Canis lupus familiaris: one gene and its partner. The protein of the gene in region 2 binds, or shares a complex with, the protein of the main gene of each other region. Links are inferred from orthologs where the notes say so. Each region holds a gene or a part of one and is shown on either strand. Other genes may lie near its edges.

Region 1 (10,429 bases), on a different chromosome or scaffold from region 2:
GAAGATTTTATATCTGAACTGGAAGAACATAGCAATGAGGATAGAAAGGATGACTTAGGCTCCCTTTATGCGGAAAAAATATGAAATTGTACCTGGCCATCTCTTACTACACCAACCAATTCTGGATAGATCAAGAACCTAAGTGCCACAAAACTTTTCAGAAGAAGATACAGGCAAATAATGACCCTTTGGTATGATGTGCAAGACACAAAAAGCACAAATGGTAACGCAAAAAGAAAATAAAATTCACCTACATTAAAAGGCAGACTTCTGCCTGGCAACATAAAAAACATCACGAATTTGAAAAAGCTAAAAACTGAGAGAAAATTGGTGCAACGTCTCTCTAAAAAACAAGAATATACAAACAATTTTCTACAAATCAATACAAAAAGGACCAGCAAAGCAGCCCTGTCCTGCAATGTTTTGTTACTCAAATGTCACTCCTGGGGAAAAAAAAGAGAGAGAGAAAGACAGAGGCCAGCAAATCATACAGAGGAAGAGCAAACCATCTGGTGACAGACTCCTGGCAAAGGTGGGAGAACAGGCACGATCCTACCTGGTCAGTTAGGAGAGAGCCCTCCTAACCTTTGGAGGACAATTTGTTAAAAAATCTATTTTAAAAAAATTAACATACCATTGATTAACATCCCTTTGCACTTCTAGGAATTATCCAAGAGATAAACTCTCACATATGTTAAAAAAAAAAAAAAAGAGTCAAAGACATTCTCTGTAATACTGTTTCTAGTAGCAGAAAAATGGAAAAATCAAAATGTCCAACAGTAAGGGATAAGTTTAAAGAAATTACATCCATGCAATGGAATCTGGAAGCGTCAATACAATGACAAGGATCTATCACTTAACTGAACTGCCACGTGAAAGAATCAAGATACAGAATAGACTATTTACAACAACAACAACAAAAAGGAACACGCTAGAAGGTGGAGCATGGAAAATTATGTACATTGATATGCACAGATTATCTCCACAGGGACACAGAAGAAACCGGTTAGAAGGACTGCCTCTGTGAAGAGAAATTAGGACGGGTGCTAAAGAGTGGAACAGTCCAGAATACATTTCATTTGGCTTTTAACTGCGTATGTGTATGTATTACATTCTCAACAAATAAAATCTCCTGCTGAGAAAATTTCAGCCATTCTAAAAAAAAAAAATAGTTTAAACAAATGATAGTATGTCCATATTAATAAATATTATATTTAGCAGCTAAAAAGAACAGAACAAATCTATATGTATTAATATAAAACAGGCACAAGATTTTTTGGAGGGTAATGAAAATGTTCTAAAATAACCTGTGGTGATGGATGGCCAACTCTATAAATATACTAAAAGCCATTGAACTGTATGCACATTTTAAATGGGTGAATTGTAAGGCACAGGAATTCTACCTCAATAAAAGCTATTAAAGAATATTAATAGACACACATGCGAGCACATACACACACACACAGCCACATGGAGGGGAGGGTGAGTGAGTAGACAGGATTAACTATAGCCCACAGGCCAAATTTGGTCTGCTATTGGTTTTTATAAAGTTTTATCAGGACACACCCACACTCCTTCATTTCCAAACTGTCTATAGCTGTTTTCATGCTACAAAGGCAGAGTTGGGTAATTATGCCAGAGACATCAGAGTTTGCAAAGCCTACAATATTTTCTACCTGGCCTTTTACAGAAAAAGTTTGCCAACCCCTGATAGTTTAAAAAAAAACTTAAATTGTATAGTTGAATGAAAAACAGCAACTGCAGGATAATACAGTCAGTAGGATATTACTTATGTTCTAAAATCACACACAACACAATATGACAATATGACATATCTTCTATGAATGCGAATAATAGTGTCAGGAAATGATCGCAAACTCATACGTATGGTTATTTCTGAGAGGGGGCAGGCAGAAAGGATTGGGAGTTGGGCAAAGGGGTCTTTGGCTTTACTTATAGTTTATCTGAAAACTGTTTTATTTAAGGAGACAATATTACCTGAGTAATTGAACATTTATTTATTTATTTATTAGTTAATATTTTAAAAGCACGGCTGGCAGCAGCAGGAAGTAACAGGATTAGGTTGGATTAAAACCATACACTGTGATCTTGGTAAGCGCTGCCAAAATTTTAAGTGTTCTGATCCACATCCACCTTTCAGATTTTTTCCAATCTCTCTCCTGTTTCTCTTCCATCTTCCCTTCATTAAGTTCAGAAGTGAGCTTTCCAAGGAGTAAGGTAAAATGAGGCAGGAGCAAGAGTAGCAGGAGGGATGGCGGACAGCTTACAAAGGAGGCCCGGGACAGTGAATGAATGGGTCCTGTCAACGGTACCAGGGATTTAGTTCCTAGCATGGGGCCCTGGGTTGTGTGAAGACAGTCTCAGGCTTAACAGCGTCCTGCAATTAATTCCTGCTCACAGCCTCCATAGTCCTAGCTTTGCATAATTCACACGACCCTCACAAGAGCCCTAGGACTTCTAGTTTTCTGTACTTTCAAGTAGGTTTACAAGTTTGACTAGTCTTGAACATAGTACGCCTTAAAAATAAAACCAACTGACTGGCAAAGAGCAATTCAGGCCCTCGAAAGGCACACGTGTGAAACCTGAGTCTCAATATGGCTGCTTTACACCAGCATTTACAAAGATAAATTGGGTACAAATGATAAAATACATATAGCTCATTTCTGGAAAATAAAGAAAGCAGAAATTCAACTGGAAAAAAAGTAAACTAGTTTAGGACAATTATTAGTTGTTATTAATTATGGAAATTATTAACTTTGGGAATGGACAGTTTTTCAAAGCAAAAGAATAAAATGTCAGGGGTAGTTTCCAATGGTGTGTATTTATATAAAATGAGACCTCAGATAATCTGTCTTCTAACCTAGAAACTATGTACAATTCTAGTAAAGGCAAGTGCTCTAAAACAGCAATAAAAGGAATCATCCAAAGTTTGTTTTTTTTTAAAGAGGTAAATTCAAAAGACAGGATATCATCATTAAGGCCATGATATTTAAAGGGACCAGTGCTAAGTCTTTGTTTGCATGAGCAATTACCAAAGGGGAAACTTGTGTAACTTTCTAATTGTGGGTCCCAGAGCCACTTCTGCTTCTGAAACAAAAGCAACCAGACAACATGAAGGGCTTCTGGGAAAACCTGGCTATGTATAAACTACAGTTACAGAGGAGAAAAAAGCACATTCATGAAACTACTCTTTTAAACAATCTGTTCTTGAACAAAACTCCACATAATTCCAACAAATCTTCACAAGGGAAAGAACAGGAAGTTGGGTGTGAAGTTGGGTGTTAACCAAAGTGAAGTATAAATGTTACATACATGTGCACATATATTTTAAACTAAATATACTTTAAGTTTCTCTCTGGCAAAAAAGGTTTGCTGCTGGTAAACTCACCTCCATGTTCTAGAAATACTCGAACACATCTTTCCTTCCCTCTTGCTGCAGAGAAATGAAGCAGGGTCCAGCCATTAGCATCCCGGCCATTTGGAGAATAGCCTTGTTCTAACATCTTTCGTACTGTGTGAACATCCCCAGCAGCAACTGCAGCCTGAATCTGCAATTCTTCCTGGAGTTCAGGGTTCCTTCGACAATGGTGGTGTAACATCCTAGCTGAGTCCACTTTTTACAAAGGATTCATTAGGTCACAGGGAATAGGCTTTAAGGGGAAACAGAATACATGAAATTTAGAATACATGGCTCCTCACGATGTGTCTGTTAAATAGTACAGAATTTTCCATTGTCAAATCATGTAAATCTTAGTAATGACAGTTCATCCCCCTACAACTAATTAACAAGTAACTGTTATAACCAAAACTTCCAAGATTAAGATTATACAAGATTCCAAACAAAAAGCCAGGCATAAAGCTTTAAATTGCTGAAACAGGACATTTCTTCTGTAGTCTTTTGAAAGCTCAAAGCAAATGTCCTAGGAACACAGTAGCCCTATTTCAGGTATAACAGAAGGCGATGCTGGGCAGCTAGAAAATTCAAGACAACAGAGGAGTCAGAGGAGTTTGATTACCCTAACGCAGAGTTATAAACCAATCAGGATATATAGCAGATCACTGAATGAAATATAGAGTATCAAATGGGCAATTCACAGGTTATGAAGACTGCAGACCTTTAACTATGAGAGACAGGTTAAAAAAAAAAAAAAAAGTAAAAAACTTTAAGTGAGTCCCCTAAAGTATTTCAATAATATCTTAGTTTTAGCCCCAAAGGGTGAAAGGTCTGGGGAGGAGGGGGAAATGCATGGGGTGAATTAAAGTAAAAGGCACGGATAACACATATTCTCCTTTTGTTTATTTCTTTGTCTTTCTGTCCTCCCCACTTTGCTATTTGATACACGATATGCCACCCCTTGTTTTCTACCACATCTTTTCCACTTTCCTAATTTCAGTTTTCCAGAAGTTTTACTCTATAAGCATGCAGAATACCAAGATCATACGAAATATTAGGAGACCTACTTAAAGTTTTTTACTTCTTTTTCCAACATGAAACAACCTGTTGATTCACCACATGAAAAAACTATTTTAAAGAAAAAGTAGTATATTGAATTTCTACACCCTCTATTAGGTCACAAAAGAGGTATGCACTCAGACTCAATATAATAGAAGATCTCCTTCCTGTGAAGAAAATCCAAATTGAATTGGTAAAAAGCAGAATCTTACACGTGTGCGCAAACACTTTTCCAGTGCATTTTTAAGTTACACAGCTTACAGAAGCTTAAACTAACACACTTGTAAGAAGCCAGTCCATCTGGACTAATTTTAAGGAATAGATTAGACTCATCTCCTAATTAGCAGGCTTCCATTTCTAAAAATAAAAAATTATGTGATAAAGTCCTTTAAAGACATTTTGGTCTCCTATGTAGGTTAGACATCTTGGGATAATCCTGTTACCAATAATAATTTATCCTGTAAAACTTCTAGTTATAGATTGCATAAAGGTAAACTTAAGCCTGACCTAGGTCAAACTGTCACAGCTTAAGAGTGTAATCAAATATCCTGTTGTTTTGTACATTGAAAATGGTTATTTCAAACTCATGAGTATTACTGTTAAGTAACAGAAGTTAAAATGAGAAATTTCCTCACAATTTGTTTTCTTAATAAACAGGATTTCCCCCTTATCTCCTCACTTAACTCCTTTTTCAATCAAAACTATAAAATTAAGTCTTTTGTTTCAGAAATTTTGAAACCGAAAATCCTTTTGGAATACGTTTTTGCTTATTTTTAGAATTATACGAGAAGATGTTGAAGACCATTACAAACTAATGAAAACTACTACTATGTGCTCAAACCAATCAACTTTAACATTTTTTTTCCTTAAAAATGAGACGATTATCTTTGCACTTAAATGAGGTCTATTATGCAAGATCCAATCAATTTTGGAGCAAACCTGGATTTTGTTTGAGCAAGTGTTGTGTTTAGTATATGTTAGCTGATTTGAAGGAAAAACAAAGGCTAAGTGGATTTTTCACCCAGAACTGCCCAAATGACCAATGATGATTAGTCACTTACCTTATAGAAGAATGTCCCTTCTCCTGATATGTGGTTTGCCTAATAACCATTGTGCACATACAGCATTGTGAGGAGGAGGCTCAGGGGGTATCCAAATTGCAGCATGAATGACCTTTCTTAACCTAAAAACAAATATCAATTATGGGAAGACTCCCAAAAACAGTAAAAAATCTTACAACTGCCTACACAGTCTACCTTTGGATGAATTTAAATTTTAGCACTTTATAACAAACTTTCAGAGCAAAAACTCAGATCAATTCTTAGAGAAAAGGATCCTGGTACCTACATTAATCTCCAAACTGGTAAAGAATATGGTTTTTATCAGGAATTTTTTTCCCCTAAAAAGGACAGTTTTTTGAAAAAGAATAAAGATAATTTAAAAAATCACACATTTGGAACTTGGATGCAAACACATGTTCCTATTATTTTTTGCTCTATTCAGAGCATATTTTCAGACTTGCACATCTGAATTACTTTTTAACTGATGCTGTTAGGCGCTTGATCTTTCTAAACATTACAAAAAAACAAAAGCATGTGTTGATTCAATACAGTAAGTGGACAGCACCAAAATGGAATCTATGACAACTAAAAAGGATATTATTTATGTCTTTAAATGCTGGTTCTTCGTATGCCCAAAAAGCACTGTGTCAATCATCTTGAAATTTTATTCCTTTACGTATACATCAAACTAGGTAAAAGATTAACATTTCTTGTCAACTTCTCCACATGAATTTTGAAAAAATTCTCTACAGGTTTAAGGAAAAGGGTGTTTTCTCCATGTAAATTAAATCCTAGGTCTGTGAATTCCACTAAGGTTAAGAGCACACGCTAAGTGACTTGCACACAGTACACTAGAATCACTCTTAAGAATTACTCACTAGAACTGCCACCGCCTTCCCCATGGGGTGGCGTGTGCTACGCCCTATGTCACTTAAACAGGAAAGATCGGACCACCTGGCAACTCGACAGGCTCTAGCGAAGAGTGGCAATCACAGGGGCTGCTGGGTGCACACCAGAATTTTCAACCAAACCAAATCAGTACAGTCCACTTTGACTCTTTCCTTTTTCCATACATTTTTTTTTTTCCCTCATCAAACTTTTCAAGGAAGGCCAGAGAGTTGGCCAAGAGGCGCTTGGAAATAATATTTGACTTACAACTGCCTACTGTTTCTAAAAAACTGAATTAGACATAACAGAACAGCTCCTACTACAGGGCCAGCTGCAAAAAAAAAAAAAAAAAAAATACAGGACCATCCTTATAGAAATGCCCAATTCTGAGAGTGGGGCAAGAAAATACACATGTAAGGTGAGCCTGGGGCATCTCATTGTGCCAAAAAGGAAGTGCTCAAAGAAAAATGCAGTGATGGGGGTATGTTACAGGAGCACAGGAGCCAACTAAGAGAGCTCTCATCAGCCAAGACAGAACAATTTGAACAAGATAATCAAGTTGGATTCTAACTCAAAGTACAGAATAAATATCAATATGCCCATATTGCTATAACTGGTTGAATAAATAAAGGAAGGGAGGAGAACCAAAATCTCCTGTGCATAATTCCAAAGATTTGTATAGATGCTCCCTACTCAAAGAGTAGGGCATAACTTCCCTCCCCTTTAGTGTAGGCCATGCATAGCGACCTCCTTCCAAGGAGGATAGCATGGAAAGGAAGGGAAAGAGCAATTTTATGGTGAGAAACCTGAAAAACACCATCCTAGCCCAGTGATCATGATTAACAGCAGCAGTGCCAAGTTGTGTTATGAGTACAATATGAAGACAACAGCAATTTTAACTTGGTGATCTTTCTCTCCAAAGCCCATAACCTCAGTCTAATCTTGAGAAAAATACCAGACAAATTTCAATTGAGGGACATCTACAAGATACCTGACCAGTACTCTTCAAAATATCAAGGTCATCAAAACACAAGGAAGGCTGAGAAACCGTCATGGCCCAAAAGAGTTTACATGACTAAATGTAATATGGTGTCCTAGATGGTAACCTGGAACAGAAAAAGGCATTAGATAAAAGCTAAGGAAATCTGGATATGGATTTTAATTAATAATAATGTTCACTGTTGGTTCATTAACTGTGAGAAATGCATCTATTAATACAAGATGTTAGCGGAAACTGGGTGTGGAGTATACGGGAATCCTGTACTATCTGTGCATGTTTTTTCTATGAATCTAAAACTATACTAAAGATTTGTTTAAAGAAAGCCTACTGAGATATCCAGTGATGAGCCTCCAGCATTTTCCACAAATGAACAGGAGATTGTTTTCTACATTTCAGGTATCAATACCACTGGATGCCTTGTTTCTAAGGGTGTCTTGGTATCCCCTGCCTCCCAAGAGAAGCGGAGCTGGCCCTTCATGGTTTCAAGCCTCTAAGAATCCTTGTTCTCTTACTGCCTTCCATCTACTCATGGAGGAAGATGGGGGGTGCATAGGGAGGAAGACAAGCAAAGTGGGAGTGGGGATGGAGGAGAATACGAAATGGTATTAATTTATTAGTAGTATCAAGAAAAGGCTGTGATAAAAGATGAAGGGACTGTTTCTCTCCACAAGAAAGGTACACAAACCACAGCAACTTGTGATAATGCTGTCTGGGCTCTTTGGTCACACAAATGGAAGTCCACTGAGTGCCTGACATGTGTTTGGCACACGGCTGGGCCTTGGCCACTGGTGTTACCTCTTGGTAGAACTTTTAATAGAGAGTTCTGCATACTTAAATACCCCTAGAAACGTTAAGATCATTTTCTCTCTTCTAACAACACCAAAGTGCTATAAATAATAACCATAGGTTTAAACCAAAAAAGCACTCTTGTACATGCATCAGTCTTTGCCAGAAGAAACAAACATCCGTGTACCACACACACATAATTCCTGTCAGCTGCATCCCTTAAATTATGAAGGGCAATGACTTATTACCAAAATATCCACGACAATAGTCCAAGGCACCAGACAAGTAATACATTTGATCTTGGTGTTATACGAGTTTGCACTGAACAGGGTAGAACTATCCACTTATGAGTAAATTTTTTTAAAAAGACTATTGAACAGAAAAAGTTAATACAGCATCCAGTGCTAAGGGTGTCTATTAAAAATTACAGAAAAAGTCTACAGATGAGATAGGAAAACAGTCTATTTCCCTTCAAGGAGAAGGTTGAAAATCTGAGTGCTCCTGGAAGTCACCTATAAAACATAAGAATATGGCCAAGGAGGCAATTTTCTAAAGAAATATATGTAAATGCGAGTTGTTTTAAACTAATGACTCAGAATGACTAAAATTCTGAGGGTGCAATCTTAGGAATGCCATTTCAGGTTCCAGTCAGAAAAGAGAAAAAAAAAAAAAAAACACACACACACACACACACAAACAAGGAAGACTTCAGAATTACTTATCAAAAGGAGCTACTCCCCGCCACCCCCCCCGCCCCCCCGGTATATCGTTTTTATGTGAGGTTTCATTGCCTGGTAGTGTGTTGAATTGTGTGTTTAACTATTACGAGTCCATCTTTTCTACTTTACGTGGAGGTCAAAAGAAAACCATCCAGGCCTCTGAGCTTTTACGCTGTTGACCATACTAGAAACTATAAATTTAGGAATTAAGCTGTTACCAGTAAATTCCAAAAAGATGCCAAGTGAACTGCATTAAGGAGAAACCAAATTTCTTGCTTCACATAATTAAAAGAAGTTCATATTCATGGAACAGAGTGAAGTGTAAAATAACTACAAAACAAAATATATTTAAGACCTGTCTAAAATTGTATAAAACTTCTACCAGATCTGCCACATGTCCCCAGTTTCCTTCAGCATAAATGATTAGTCACTAATGGCTTTTTGCATATTATTTTCACTAAAAGTCCACACATTTTTTGGATTAAGTGATACAAATTAGAACTGTGCTTTCAGATTTCACACAAACTAGAAACAAGATAACAGCTTGCTACTCAAAAAAGGAAATAAGCAATTCTTTGTAGAGCAAACAGAGATCAGGCTGGTATGAAAATAAAATCAGCAACCCAAGATATTGGCTCTGAGGAACAAAAACCACCATTGGCTCACAGGTCCTAAGAGGAAAGATAGATGGCTGCAGCAACATCATAAGGCCCAAAGTGTGCCACATGGCTGAGGTCTATACTGACCAGCACTATTTGTAGGATTCAAGAGCCTGGAACCCAAAATAAAGTAGAAGTGTTTTTTAGTATCACTCTACATGGTCAGCATGGTGTTTATGTTCTAAAACAAGTAAGGGCATTCATATTTCCTCCAAAGTGCTGGGCCTCCGTATAACACAAGGGTGTATTATCATGCACAACTTATCTACAATTCTTATACGTTCCAGCAGAAAAACCAACCATTTTCGTGGAATGTGGAGGAGGCAAGAGAGGAATTTGTATAACTCACTTATCCAGGCTCAACTCAAGACTTAAACCACAAGAACTGTAACGGAGGAGGTCTTGTCAATATTATCTTAGTAACTCATGTCTTGCATGATCATGTCAGTGCCGAGGAAGTTTGCAAGAAGGAACACCATCAGTCTCTACTGAAGGAGTGTATTCAGTTGGGAATGAAGTGAAAGGCTGTAAGTCAGATATTAGGTATGCTTATATAAACTTTATCTGACTTCAGACTTTTTAGGAATAGTATGAAATTTCTATGTTACCAAAGTCACACGCAAAGAAAATAGATATTATATGTAGCATAATATTAAGCAATTGTGAACGGTATCACTTCTGGTATAAAGACAATTAAGTATAGGGCCACAGCATCCTCAAGATGCATCACTGAAATCTTCAATTAAAATCAGTTATTTTCCCTATATGACTATAAATCTAGACTTGGTTATCAAATAAATCAGGTTCTGGACCTTTCTTTCCTTTAAAAACCCATGTACCTG
Region 2 (11,185 bases):
AGTCAAAGAAGAGATGTTCCTCACAATGTAAAGAAGAGTTTAGTAAACTTCAGAGATAAGAGCTGCATTCAGGTAAGCAATGTAAATTCTGGTTATAAAAACTGCACATCCGGGGAAACTCCAGGAGAACTGTTTTGTTGTTGTTGTTGTTGTTTGTTTGATTGTTTTTGTTTTTGTTTATCCTGGAGGGAGACAGGACACTGGTGGGGCATCCTTTAAGGTCAAGAGGCATTAGTTTGACCTTCAGGAAAATCAGCCTTTTTATACTTTCCTAGGGTAGCTTGGAGACGGAGTAGCAGTTAAGTGATCTATCACTATATTTTCTTACCTACTTTTGGAGATTAAACAGCCTCAGTTAAATATAGTCAGCTTTTTTATTTTTTTAAGATTTTTAATTTTTTTAAAGTAATCTCCACACCCAACATGGGCTTGAATTCATAACCCTGAGATCTAGAGTCACATGTTTCACCAATGAGCCAGCCAGGCACACCCCTATAGTCAAGTTTTATTATCATCTAACAAAAGCATCTGCATTTTTTTAGACTTGAAATAATGTTAAACAATTATTTGACATTTTTTACTTTTCTTACCGTCTTCAACTTGATTTTCTTCATCTTTGCATCATTGCCATAAGACAGGTAGAGCAAATGTTAATAGGCCCATTTTACAATGAGCAAATGGAGTCTCAGAAATATTGTGACAAGACCACAAATTTGAAGTGAGAAGAAATGTGAATCTTCTGTATTTGAGTTCATATCTCTCTCTAAAACATCATCTTTCTCTTCTCAATATAATTCTTTCAAACATTGTTTGAATGCTTTCTGTATATCAACTATGTGCTGGGCATTCAGTGTTGAACAAGAAAGATGTGGTCTCCGAGTAAGAAGGTTACAGAAAAGTTGAACACACAAACAAAAAGATGGGCAATTATTTACATTGTAATAGGTGAAAGCACACTGAGAAAGGCAGAGGCGCTTCTAATCCAGAGAAAGTGTTAGGTTAACTGGTCCATGGGCCTGGTCCTATGTGGCCAATCTAAGGCCCTAGAGATGAAGGACAAAATGATAAGCCCGAATGGTTAACTACTTGAATCTTTGTTGGTGAACAGATGAGGAAGGCAGGGAATTTTTTTACAAAAACATGCTTTTAACCCAGCTTTCCAGACTCAGCTCAGGCAAGGGAAAGTCTGGCAGAGATTCCTATGGGATACCCAGGGCCCCGTCAGGGCAGCACTCCTTAAACAGACAAAGGAAGAGGAGCCACATTGAGAATCCCACCAGGGGTGTTAGGAGCAGACACACCCAGTCATTGCATTACCATACTCAACAGCTGAATCAGGGAGCTAATTATGGCTTTCTACTTCTGGAGTCCACATTCCTGAGGATTTCATGCACACACACACGCGCACACACACACCACGCTGTACCATGGCAGCTCTTCTCCCCTTATTCTGCTTCCTTACTTCCACCCCCATTTTCAATGCACCCCACTTTATCTCTGAAGCATCCCTTGCACAGGGTGCTTCTGTTGTTTCATACTGTATCTTGGTTCCACCCCTTGCATACACACCAATGCTTTGCCCGCATCCTTTGCCTAACTCAGTCATTATAAGAGAGCTACATGTCATGCTTTATATGCTACCTAGAATGCTTCTGACAGAGAACCATAATATGTCAGTGCTGGATGCGTCCCCTTAAAGAGTCTCACTCAAACTACCCACTTTGCAGATATAGAAACTGAGGCCTAGTCAGGGACATGGCTTATCCAAGAGCATTTAAGTAGTAGTGGTAGGGCCAAAATGAGGAACAGGTTTTCAGGATTAGTATTTTTCTCCTTCCATGGAATTCCACATCTAAAAACAGAAAAATGAGTTTGACTGAAATCAGAAGTCCACCTGATTATTTTTTTAAGATTTTATTTGTTTATTCATGAGAGACATACAGAGAGAGAGAGAGGCGGAGACATAAGCAGAAGGAGAAGCAAGCTCCCCATGAGGATCCTGATACGGGACTCCATCCCCAGATCCCAGGATCACGTCCTGAGCTAAAGGCAGATGCTCAACCGCTGAGCCACCCAGCATCCCATAATTCTTTATTCTACCTTCCAAGATTCTACTTTTTTTTTTTAAGTGCTAAGATGTTAGATTTATATTAATCCATTCTGCAAGTGTTTCTGAGAAATTCCCACCTGTGAGGCACCACATCTGTCTCTGGGGATGTAGAGTCCAGTGTCTGACTGTAGATAGCTCATAGTCTAGGGAAAGACAGACCTGCAGTCACAGTCACCATGCAAGCAAGCATACATATGAATGGGACAAGAGACGTGGAGCTCTAGAAAAAGGAATTGTCGTTTTGGCTGAGATGATCAAAGATGGTGTGAATAAGGAAAGCATTTTAGGTCTCAAATTTTGACAGGTAGAGAAAAGCCTTTCAAACTGAGGGACAAATATATGCAAAGGTGGAAAAGAAGAGGTGATCTTCAGAGAAGGCTGAACTGGCCTTTGGAGTTGATACAGAGAAGTTGTAATGTTCCTTGTAATAGCTACCATGTGTATGTACTTACCACATGCCAAGGATTCTTATTTAATCCTCATAGCAAACCTATAAAGTAGGGATTGCTTCATTTACAAGTAGTTATAGAATGACTATGATATACCAGCCAGGTTCTAGGTGCTGAGGGTACATCTGTGAACAGAACAGATCAAGTCCCTCCGCTATGAACAAAACCGAACAAGTCCTTGCTCTCAGGAAGTTTACATTCCAGGAATTGTTTCCCCATTTCATAAAGGGGAAAAATATATATAAACGACAATATCACCACCAAAAAAAAAAAACCAAACAAACAAAAAACAAAAACCCTGAGATATAAGGAGGTTATGGCCTTGGCTGAGGGTCACACAGATGATAATTAGCAGAGCCTGTCTCTGCTCTGGAAGTCTGTTGTGTTTCCTTCCAGGAAGCTTAGAATTGAGAGTTGAAGTTTTCAGAGTCCAGATCTGGAAATGGGAAAGATATTTTACAAGATTGAGAGCAACAGGGTGGCTGTAACAACATGGTGTTGCTTCTGTTTGGGCTGTCTTCCCTCATTCCACTTTTTTTTTTTAATTTTTATTTATTTATGATAGTCACACAGAGAGAGAGAGAGAGAGAGGGGCAGAGACATAGGCAGAGGGAGAAGCAGGCTCCACGCACCAGGAGCCCGACGTCGCACTCGATCCCGGGTCTCCAGGATCGCGCCCTGGGCCAAAGGCAGGCGCCAAACCACTGCGCCACCCAGGGATCCCTCATTCCACTTTTAGTCAGAGATCAGCCACCTCAGTGTTCCCTCCTCCACTTGGCTGAGGCTGGCATTCCCTGGGTAGAGCCGTGCCTGGTTTTAGTGAATTAATTAACCTGGGTGAACCCAGGACCAGAGCCTCATGCCACACCCAGCACCCCATTTAACTGGCCTTTTGTCCTCCCAAAGCCTGTAAACTTGGTTTCCTTCCTAGCCCAACTGCTAGAAGTTAAAAATGAGGGTGGTGGAGAAAATGATAGCGTTAAAAAGGTACTGGGTGAGATTTATAGCTATAAACTTGGAACACGACTCAGCTTTCCTTTTTTTTATATATAAATTTATTTTTTATTGGTGTTCAATTTGCCAACATACAGCATAACACCCAGTGCTCATCCCATCAAGTGCCCCCGTCAGTGCCCGTCCCCCAGTCACCCCCACCCCCCGCCCTCCTCCCCTTCCCTCACCCCTAGTTCCTTTCCCAGAGTTAGGAGTCTCTCATGTTCTGTCTCCCTTTCTGATATTTCCCACTCATTCTTTCACCCGAAACCTAGTCCCCCGGAGGGAGCTGGAAAAGTTTGCCTTTGAAATGTCTTGGAACGCTTGGGTGGCTCAGCAGTTAAGCGTCTGCCTTCGGCTCAGGGCGTGATCCTGGAGACCCGGGGGTCGAGCCCCACATCGGGCTCCCTGCATGGAGCCTGCTTCTCCCTCTGCCTGTGTCTCTGCCTCGCTTTCTCCGTGTTTCTCATGAATAAATAAATAAAATCTCAAAAAAGAAAAAGAACAAGAAATGTCTTGGGAGTGGGGGTGCCAGTGTTCCGGGCCCCTGCCTTTAATCCCAGCACGTGAGGCAATGCCCATCACTAGGCTGCTGGTCCCGTCTTTCACCTGGAAATCCAGCCTTTCCCCGGGACCCAGGGGCTGCAGGGCTGGGGCTGGGGAAAGCAAACTGGTGAGTAAGAAGATGGGGCGGGGAGCAGGGGGGGGGATGAAGGAAGAGAAGGATCCAGGGGAAGAGGAGAAAGCCAAGGAATGAATCTAGGAAACGCGAAGGAGGAAGGACGGAGCGCGCGTTACCGAGGAGGCAGGGACAAGAGCAAGAAGGGAAGAGTCGCAGGAGGGGCAGGGCCGGCGGGTGGAGGGAGAGAGGCTCAGGGCCGCCCGAAGGGGTCTGCGGGCGGTGGCAGCGGAGAGCCGGGGCCCGCGGCCGCCGCCGACCCCAAGTGCGGGGCAGCCCCAGCTGTCAGCCGGGAACAAAGGCCGCCGAGCAGCAAGCGAGAGGCTGCGAGCCGCGCCCGGCCAATGAGCGGCGCCGGCGCTCGCCCCGCCCCGCCCCGCCCCGCGCCCCGCCCCGCCCCGCCCCGCCCCGCCCTCGGCTCCCGGACCCCGCGCGGAGGCCGGCGCGCCGGGAGCGGGCGGGCGAGCTGCGGGCGCGCGCGGAGGCCGAAACTTTCTCCCGCCGCCGGGTCCGCCGAGCCGGAGCCGCGAGCCCGCAGCCCTGCGGAGACGGCCGGGACCCCACTGCAGCCCCCCGACCCCCCCCCAAAAAAAAACCATGCCCAAGCCAGCCGGAGGCGCAGGGGGCAGGTAAGGTGCGCTGCGCGCGGGGTCCTCCTCCGCCGCGCCCCGGGCGCTCGGGCTCGGGGGCGACCGCGCTCCCCGCCGCGTACCGGGCGTCCGGGCGTCCGTCGGTCTTTGTCTGTGTCGGCGTCCGTCCGGGTGTCTTTGTCTCTGCACGTAACTGTCAGGGTCTTTCTTTCCCCCCTGCGCCAGGGTGGGTGCTGCTGCTCGGGACCCAGCCTGGAGAAAGGGATGCTGCGCCCGTCCTTACGGCTTTGTCTCCGTCTCCTGCACCCTGGCTTCATCTGCTTCCAGCCCCGAATCTGATCTTGCTGGACACGAAGTGTTGGGTGACACTGATGTCTGAGATGAGCCAAAGGGGAAGTGTGCGTGAGCCCAGAGGGTCCCTGGCCCCAGACGGAGGGTGTGACAGCTGGGCTCTGGACACTGCACTTGGCCGTCCGAACTCTGGAGATGGGCCGTGGCCGTGCTCACGGGGTGGCAGGGACACTGGTGCAGTTAGAGCTTTGGGACGTCTCACTGAAGGAATGTGTCACGGGGGCTGAGTTGGATAGAGAGGGGCTCCATGAACGTGGAAAGTGGCCCCTGGAGTTGTGGGTCAACAAGGATCAGTCGTAGACTTGCCATTCAGCCAGATTAACACACACACAGTCCCACACCTACACACACACCACGTTCACTTCTTTCTCTCACCGGCCAAAGGTAGCCAGCCCCCGACTCCCTCCCCACCCCTACACACACACACACACACACACACACACTCTTCAACATGCTGAACTCCTGCTTTCAGAGCATCAAACTCAGCAGCAACAGGCATCGAAACACCACAGGCCAGGTGATCTTTCTCCTTCTTGCTCGAAATGGAAAGGAGTGAACTCTGGAGCAAATGAATGTTCTGCTTGCCCACAAGTATGTCAGGCCTAGGAAAGTGCTTGGGACTTGTTAGCTTCAGAGCCCTCGGTTCCCTAGGAACAAAAAGAGTGCTTAGGGATCTGAGCATCTAGATTTCCTGGATCGCCCCCCCCCCCCCATTCTATCCACACCCTCCTGCAACCATCAACCCTGGTCTTCGGTCTTAGGTGCTGGGCAGACTAGCATGGAGGGACTGAGTTCTGGAGAGCTCTTGGCAGGAGCTGTGCCAGATAAAGGATCTCCTGCTCTGCTGGAAGTACAGCCTAGTGGCAATCAGAGGAGCAGAGAAGTCTAGCCAGAGAGAGATGAGCTGTGTGTGTGCTTGGCAAGTCTTCCAGAACCAACGACCCTTGAGAAGACTCTGTGGGTAGGGACTAGACAGTGCTTGTAACCTGAGCTTCCTCTAAGTCCAAAAACAATTTTCTGTGGGTATACTGGGGAACATATAGGTGCTAAAGCATACACACACACACACACACACACACACACGAAAATGGGTATTAGAGACAGCTTTTATAGGCGGGAAGGGTGTTTGTGTTCAAGGGTGAGAAGAGCAGAGTGTGTGGGTGGAAATCTGTGGGCAGGGGCATACACACTAATCAGGTCTGGCATTTACACCTTATATTTATCCAGTGCCTTTCTTCTGAGGTGCTTTCTCCACATCACAGACGTTATCTCATTTGTTATCTCCTTTATCCTCACACTGTAACTACCAGGTTGGCATGAAGCATGGTTCATTCTCTGTGTTCTACCAGTGAAGAACGGGGGCCGGGCTTTCCCTAAGGTCCACAGCTAATAGGAGCAAAGTTAAGTTTAGCAAGTGGAAGTTCAAGTACGAGGTCTCAGCTGAGCAGATGGGTGTGTGGACATTCACTCTTCATGAAGTGAGAAAAAAAAAAAAAACAGGTGGAGAAAAAGGATAGTCTTTCAGGAGTGTGTATGTGTAAGCGAGAAGGAGGATGGGACGTTCGAGATGGTTGTTACTTAACCATTTATGGCAGCCTCTGTGCACCTACCTCACGAAGTAAAACCTGCTTTAACAATTCAGCTTGTACATTTGTGTGTCTGTCGAGGAGCCTCCTGTCTTGCCATGTGCATCCCAGTAGATGTGTGTTGAGGTGGCTGCTGTCTAAAGTGTGCCGCTGTGCAGTGTGTTGTCAGGGAGAGCCAATGCTTTGGGAGTGCATGAGGGAAAGATCCGCCATGCAGTTTTGAGAAGCCACTTTTGTGCCTGTGTGGGCAAGGAGGTAGATGGGTTCCAACCATATAAAAATGGCTTCCTAATTCTAAAAAGTTATGTATATGCCTTTGCACTTATTCAACATTCACTTAATAAATATTCATTGGGTACCTACAAAATGCAAAGCTCTGGGCCAGGCATAGCCTCATTAAACTATGAAGATGCATAGGGTAATGAGGGCAAACCTGTGGTTGATCAGCTTATAGACTGGTGTCATGGGTAATACTTAGCAACACCTAATACTGTTCACTAAGTACACTATGTGCCCAGTACTTGTTATTCATTATCTCATTTAATTCTCAGCACAGGCCTGCAGGGTGTGTATGATTATTAGATGAGGAGAGTTAAATAATGTAGTTAGGATAGAGGATGGAGGAGCAGGGGTTTGAACTCCACTCAGCTCAGCTCTGGCTCTTTCCATGTTCTTCTACTAACTTTGAAAAGAGAAATACACGTTTCCGCTCTGTCAAATATTCTTACCCCGTCTCTCTACCTCCACCTAACAAGCTCCCACTTGCGCTTCTGGTCTTAACCATGAGAATCAACCCATCCAAGAAATCTTCCCCTCTTCTTTCCCTATGTCTGGGTTACATGCCTTTCTCTGAGTTCCTACCATCATTCCACACTATTCTGACATTTACCCACTGATCCTGAAGAGCCCAAATGGTTCTTAGAGGCAGAGATGATGTCATGAATGCCCAGCTCATAGTATACTATTTAGCTACTATGAGTAGGCCCTTAGTAAATGGTTGCTTAATAAAGCAATGGGAAGAAGAGATATCGGGGACTGTTGGCAAGGAACATTTTCCCAGCACAGATTCCTGCATGGCCTCTGGCTTTCCTGCCCCTGTTATTGGGTCATCTCTTTCAGGGCCTCTGCCTAGACAGGGTTCCTTCGTCTCAGTTTCTAACTCCAGTTTGGGAACACAAGGAAAACCTAGCTCCTACCCACCCTACCAACCTAGGCGCTCTATCTCGGGGTCAGTCAACCAATGGATATATACTAGTGGGAAGTGCTAGGTGTGATCTAGAATTAAGGTTTTAAAAATTGTGCAGTTGGAACCGCAGGAAGGCACTGGTTCCAAGGCAGTGATGAGGTGTTTCTAGGGGTTTGCTAACAAAAAAGTAGCCAGCTGTCTGGGGGATCTTTAGGCACTTTAAGTGGTAGTTCTTTGAGTTTCCTTTTGAATAGATCTTTATGCTGCTGCAGTCTGAAAATTGCTGATCTAAAATAGACACTTACGCTGTTGTTGGGAGTGTGAATTGCTACCATGTTTAGGGAGGCAATCTGGCCATGATTTCCCCAAGGTCACGTGGTTACAGTTTGGTGACTCCTGTCTCATGCCGTTTACACCACACCATTATTTCTCATAGCAGGTTTGCCACGTGCCTTCTCAGGGGTTTGTGATTATTTTAGTTTCCCTAGAACTGTACATCACTATTTATTGAAGGTTTTCAAGGTGCCACGGAGGTGGGGGATTTTTTAAAAAAATGGTTCAATAATGGCTTGAGACTAAAATTTGTGATGGGAATTGAGAAGAGGAAGCAGCATACGTAAATCAATGACAAGTACATTGAAAATTGGATTGTACTAACTTTGAACACAGCAGCTGCTCAGCATGAGGGAGGTGAGCTCAAAGACACCAGGGAGGAAGTGGTCATGAACTAAACCTTGAAGTTAAACCTCAGGAAAGTATAAAAAGTAGACATAGCAGCAGCAAGGTCATAGTTCCAAGATGCAAGCTGAGACCTGAGGAAATGGAGCTTTTTCTTCCAAAGGGAACCCAGGTAAGAAATGTTTCCTCCTTCCATGTAGCTCAGCAAGGCACCCAGACCAGACAGAGCTGGGAAATGAAGGATGTGAAGTAACTCACCTCTAACAACTGCCTCCAGCAAAATGAGTGTGCAGATTGGCTCTGGATCCCCTTCTCCAAGGATTTAGAGAAGTGGGTGGAGATGTGTCAAAATCAGGCATGGTTGCGTTGGGCTTCGGGCTAGCTGCCGATTGGCAGTGCTGCCTCTGTATCTGCAGTCTCCATCCTGCTTCCTGCCAGACATCGACTTCCACCTGACAGTCTACCACCATCTCTAGGCTGCCTGTAATAATAATTTTAATAGCCTTTTTTATTTGTACAGGACTTTACACGTTAAAAAGGATATTATTATTGTTGCTGCTATTGTTGTTATTGTTAGGATCATTATCAACCCTGTGAGAAAGTATCTTCCACAATTTGGCATATGAGAAAACTGAAGGAACCTATTGGGGGTGAAGGGGTTCACCCCAGATTTTAAGTGGAATGCTGGGATTTGAACCCAGCTGTCCTGACTCCCAATTCATTGCTATTATCACCCAATTGGCAGGCCTCATTAATTAGCAAATAGAATATGAGCGTGTGTATGTGTTAGCTAAAAGCTAAAATTAATTGTTCTAATCAATCCAGTAGACTGGTGATTTTTCTTGCTAAGTGATAGGCCAAATTGGTGTCTAAATAGATGTGATATGGGTTTTGTCCAGTACCTGGAACAAAGGCAGTAAAAAGTTGCCCTATCCAGATCACCCATAGATTAGCTTCCATGTCAGTTAATCACTGTGGGAGAGGATAACTGCCTTCAGAATGACAGCCAGCAGACACACACACACACACATGCACACCCGAATTCATTCATTCATCTCTTTCACTGAGGCATGCTCTCCTCTGATATCCACACTCGCAGTCATATCCCATAACGTGAATCCTTAGACATTCCCAGATGGCAGGACCTGGAAGATCCACACCCTATGCCTACTTGGGTTGGTCTTTCTGTGGCATGATCTAAAGTGTGCTTGGATTGCCCCCCTCCTCGATGGCACAGAACCTCAATTTCTGCCATGCCCAGAGCAGTCTTTTGAATTACCATTAGTTCTTCAGAGCTTCAGAAGCTCCCAGGCCACAGCATCTACTAGAAGAAGAGAGCCCAATCTAGGTAAGACTCTCAAGCTAAGGCATACCCAAGGACACAGGCCCTCAAAAGTGCCAAAGTAGAGCTGAGATCAGGGGTGAGGGTAGGCATTGCTTTGAAAATCAGTTGCTGTTTAGGGATGAACCCTGCCCTGTGCATGAATATAACTGCAATGCATAGACTGCCAGGTGGCTGAGGCAATCCCTGCCTGAGGCACCAGGGCAGGGCTGTACACTTGGCTCACTGGCCTGTTGGCTTTGGGGGCATCTTCACCCTCCTTGCTGTTGCAAAGCCATTTGCTGCTAAATCACCCTCCTCCTGGCACCCTGGACTGCTAAATTGGTCTCAACTTGCTGTACTTCCACCCACTACCTTAGTCATTATTCGCTGGCAGCATTCACAGAGTGGGTGTAAAGCAGCTGAACATTATATTCCTGCTGAAGAGAGAATTGAGTATAGGCATGCAAGGGAAGGAGGTAAGGGAAAGCTAAGGAGGCAGGGAAACAAAGCTTGGATCTGCCAGCACCTTTCCCTACTAACTCCAATAATTCTGGACAGTTGGGTGGTGGGCAATAGGTGAGTGTCCTGGCTCAATAGGAGGAGACACAGGATTCTAGGGTGAGAGAGGTACACTCACTACAGTGGGGCTGCACCTACCTGGGAGGAAGAAAGGACATCCTCTGTGAGGAGAGAAACACCCCCCCGCCCATCAGCTCCCTGTTGCTACAAATTCTGCAACATGTACTGTCATACCCATTGAGCATCTATTCCCATGTATTAGCATTTAGCTTCTCTATCCTTCCTCCCTGCCTAGATTATAAATCTCTTGAAAGGAAAATGTGTCATGTTTCAGGTGACACAGGCTCTGGACACAGGGCTCAGCCCCAAAGTGCTGAAGGTAATGGTGATGAGGCCTATGGTGGCCCTTCCTTCTCAGCCATTTCAGATCTCCCTGTGCTGTCCAAGGGCCACAGGGTTTGGGAACCCAGGCAGGCAAGAAGAAAAGGAATAACAGGGGAACATTCGAGGCTGGGTCTATTATCTCAGTGAGGAAGCTTTAGGGAGGGAAGGGTTATGCCACACAGGAACAGGCCAGCTAGGGAGGTAGAAACTTAGAGACTTTCTGTTGTGGCATAGAGGCTGCAAGTAATCTCCAGCCAACAGATGGGGTACTCTTTCCTAGCTCATCTAGCACCCAGGATTGCACTAGGGCTGGTAGGAGGTGAAGAACACAGTTGG

Evidence for each region. Proteins that work in one complex are often made in the same cells at the same time.
Region 1: the proteins of LZTS1 (region 2) and ASB7 are in contact, whole or in part, in a crystal structure (PDB 8Y1U), measured with the Homo sapiens proteins. The link is inferred for Canis lupus familiaris from reciprocal best matches to the Homo sapiens genes LZTS1 and ASB7. Residues at the interface, in NP_001349813.1 of Homo sapiens: Arg346, Glu348, Leu349, Leu352, Met353, Glu355, Gln356, Leu358, Leu359, Glu360, Lys362, Leu363, Arg364, Ser365, Tyr366; in NP_937886.1 of Homo sapiens: Asn46, Trp48, Ala56, Ile79, Phe82, Tyr87, Met90, His91, Asp116, Trp118, Val123, His126, Tyr127, Ser147, Lys149, Thr151, Gln155, Leu156, Ile159, Arg160, Phe182, Arg185, Tyr186, Ile189, Lys190, Arg210, Leu220, Leu223.

Annotation. Positions count from the first base shown.
Region 1 is NC_049224.1:40,774,283-40,784,711, forward strand, and holds part of ASB7 (ankyrin repeat and SOCS box protein 7), read right to left. Parts: intron 5,658-10,429; 5' UTR 5,536-5,657; intron 3,672-5,535; 5' UTR 3,621-3,671; coding exon 3,410-3,620; intron 1-3,409. UniProt on the Homo sapiens protein: Probable substrate-recognition component of a SCF-like ECS (Elongin-Cullin-SOCS-box protein) E3 ubiquitin-protein ligase complex which mediates the ubiquitination and subsequent proteasomal degradation of target proteins.
Region 2 is NC_049246.1:36,938,261-36,949,445, forward strand, and holds the start of LZTS1 (leucine zipper putative tumor suppressor 1), read left to right. Parts: upstream 1-4,678; 5' UTR 4,679-4,860; intron 4,861-5,046; 5' UTR 5,047-5,219; intron 5,220-11,185. UniProt on the Homo sapiens protein: Involved in the regulation of cell growth. May stabilize the active CDC2-cyclin B1 complex and thereby contribute to the regulation of the cell cycle and the prevention of uncontrolled cell proliferation. May act as a tumor suppressor.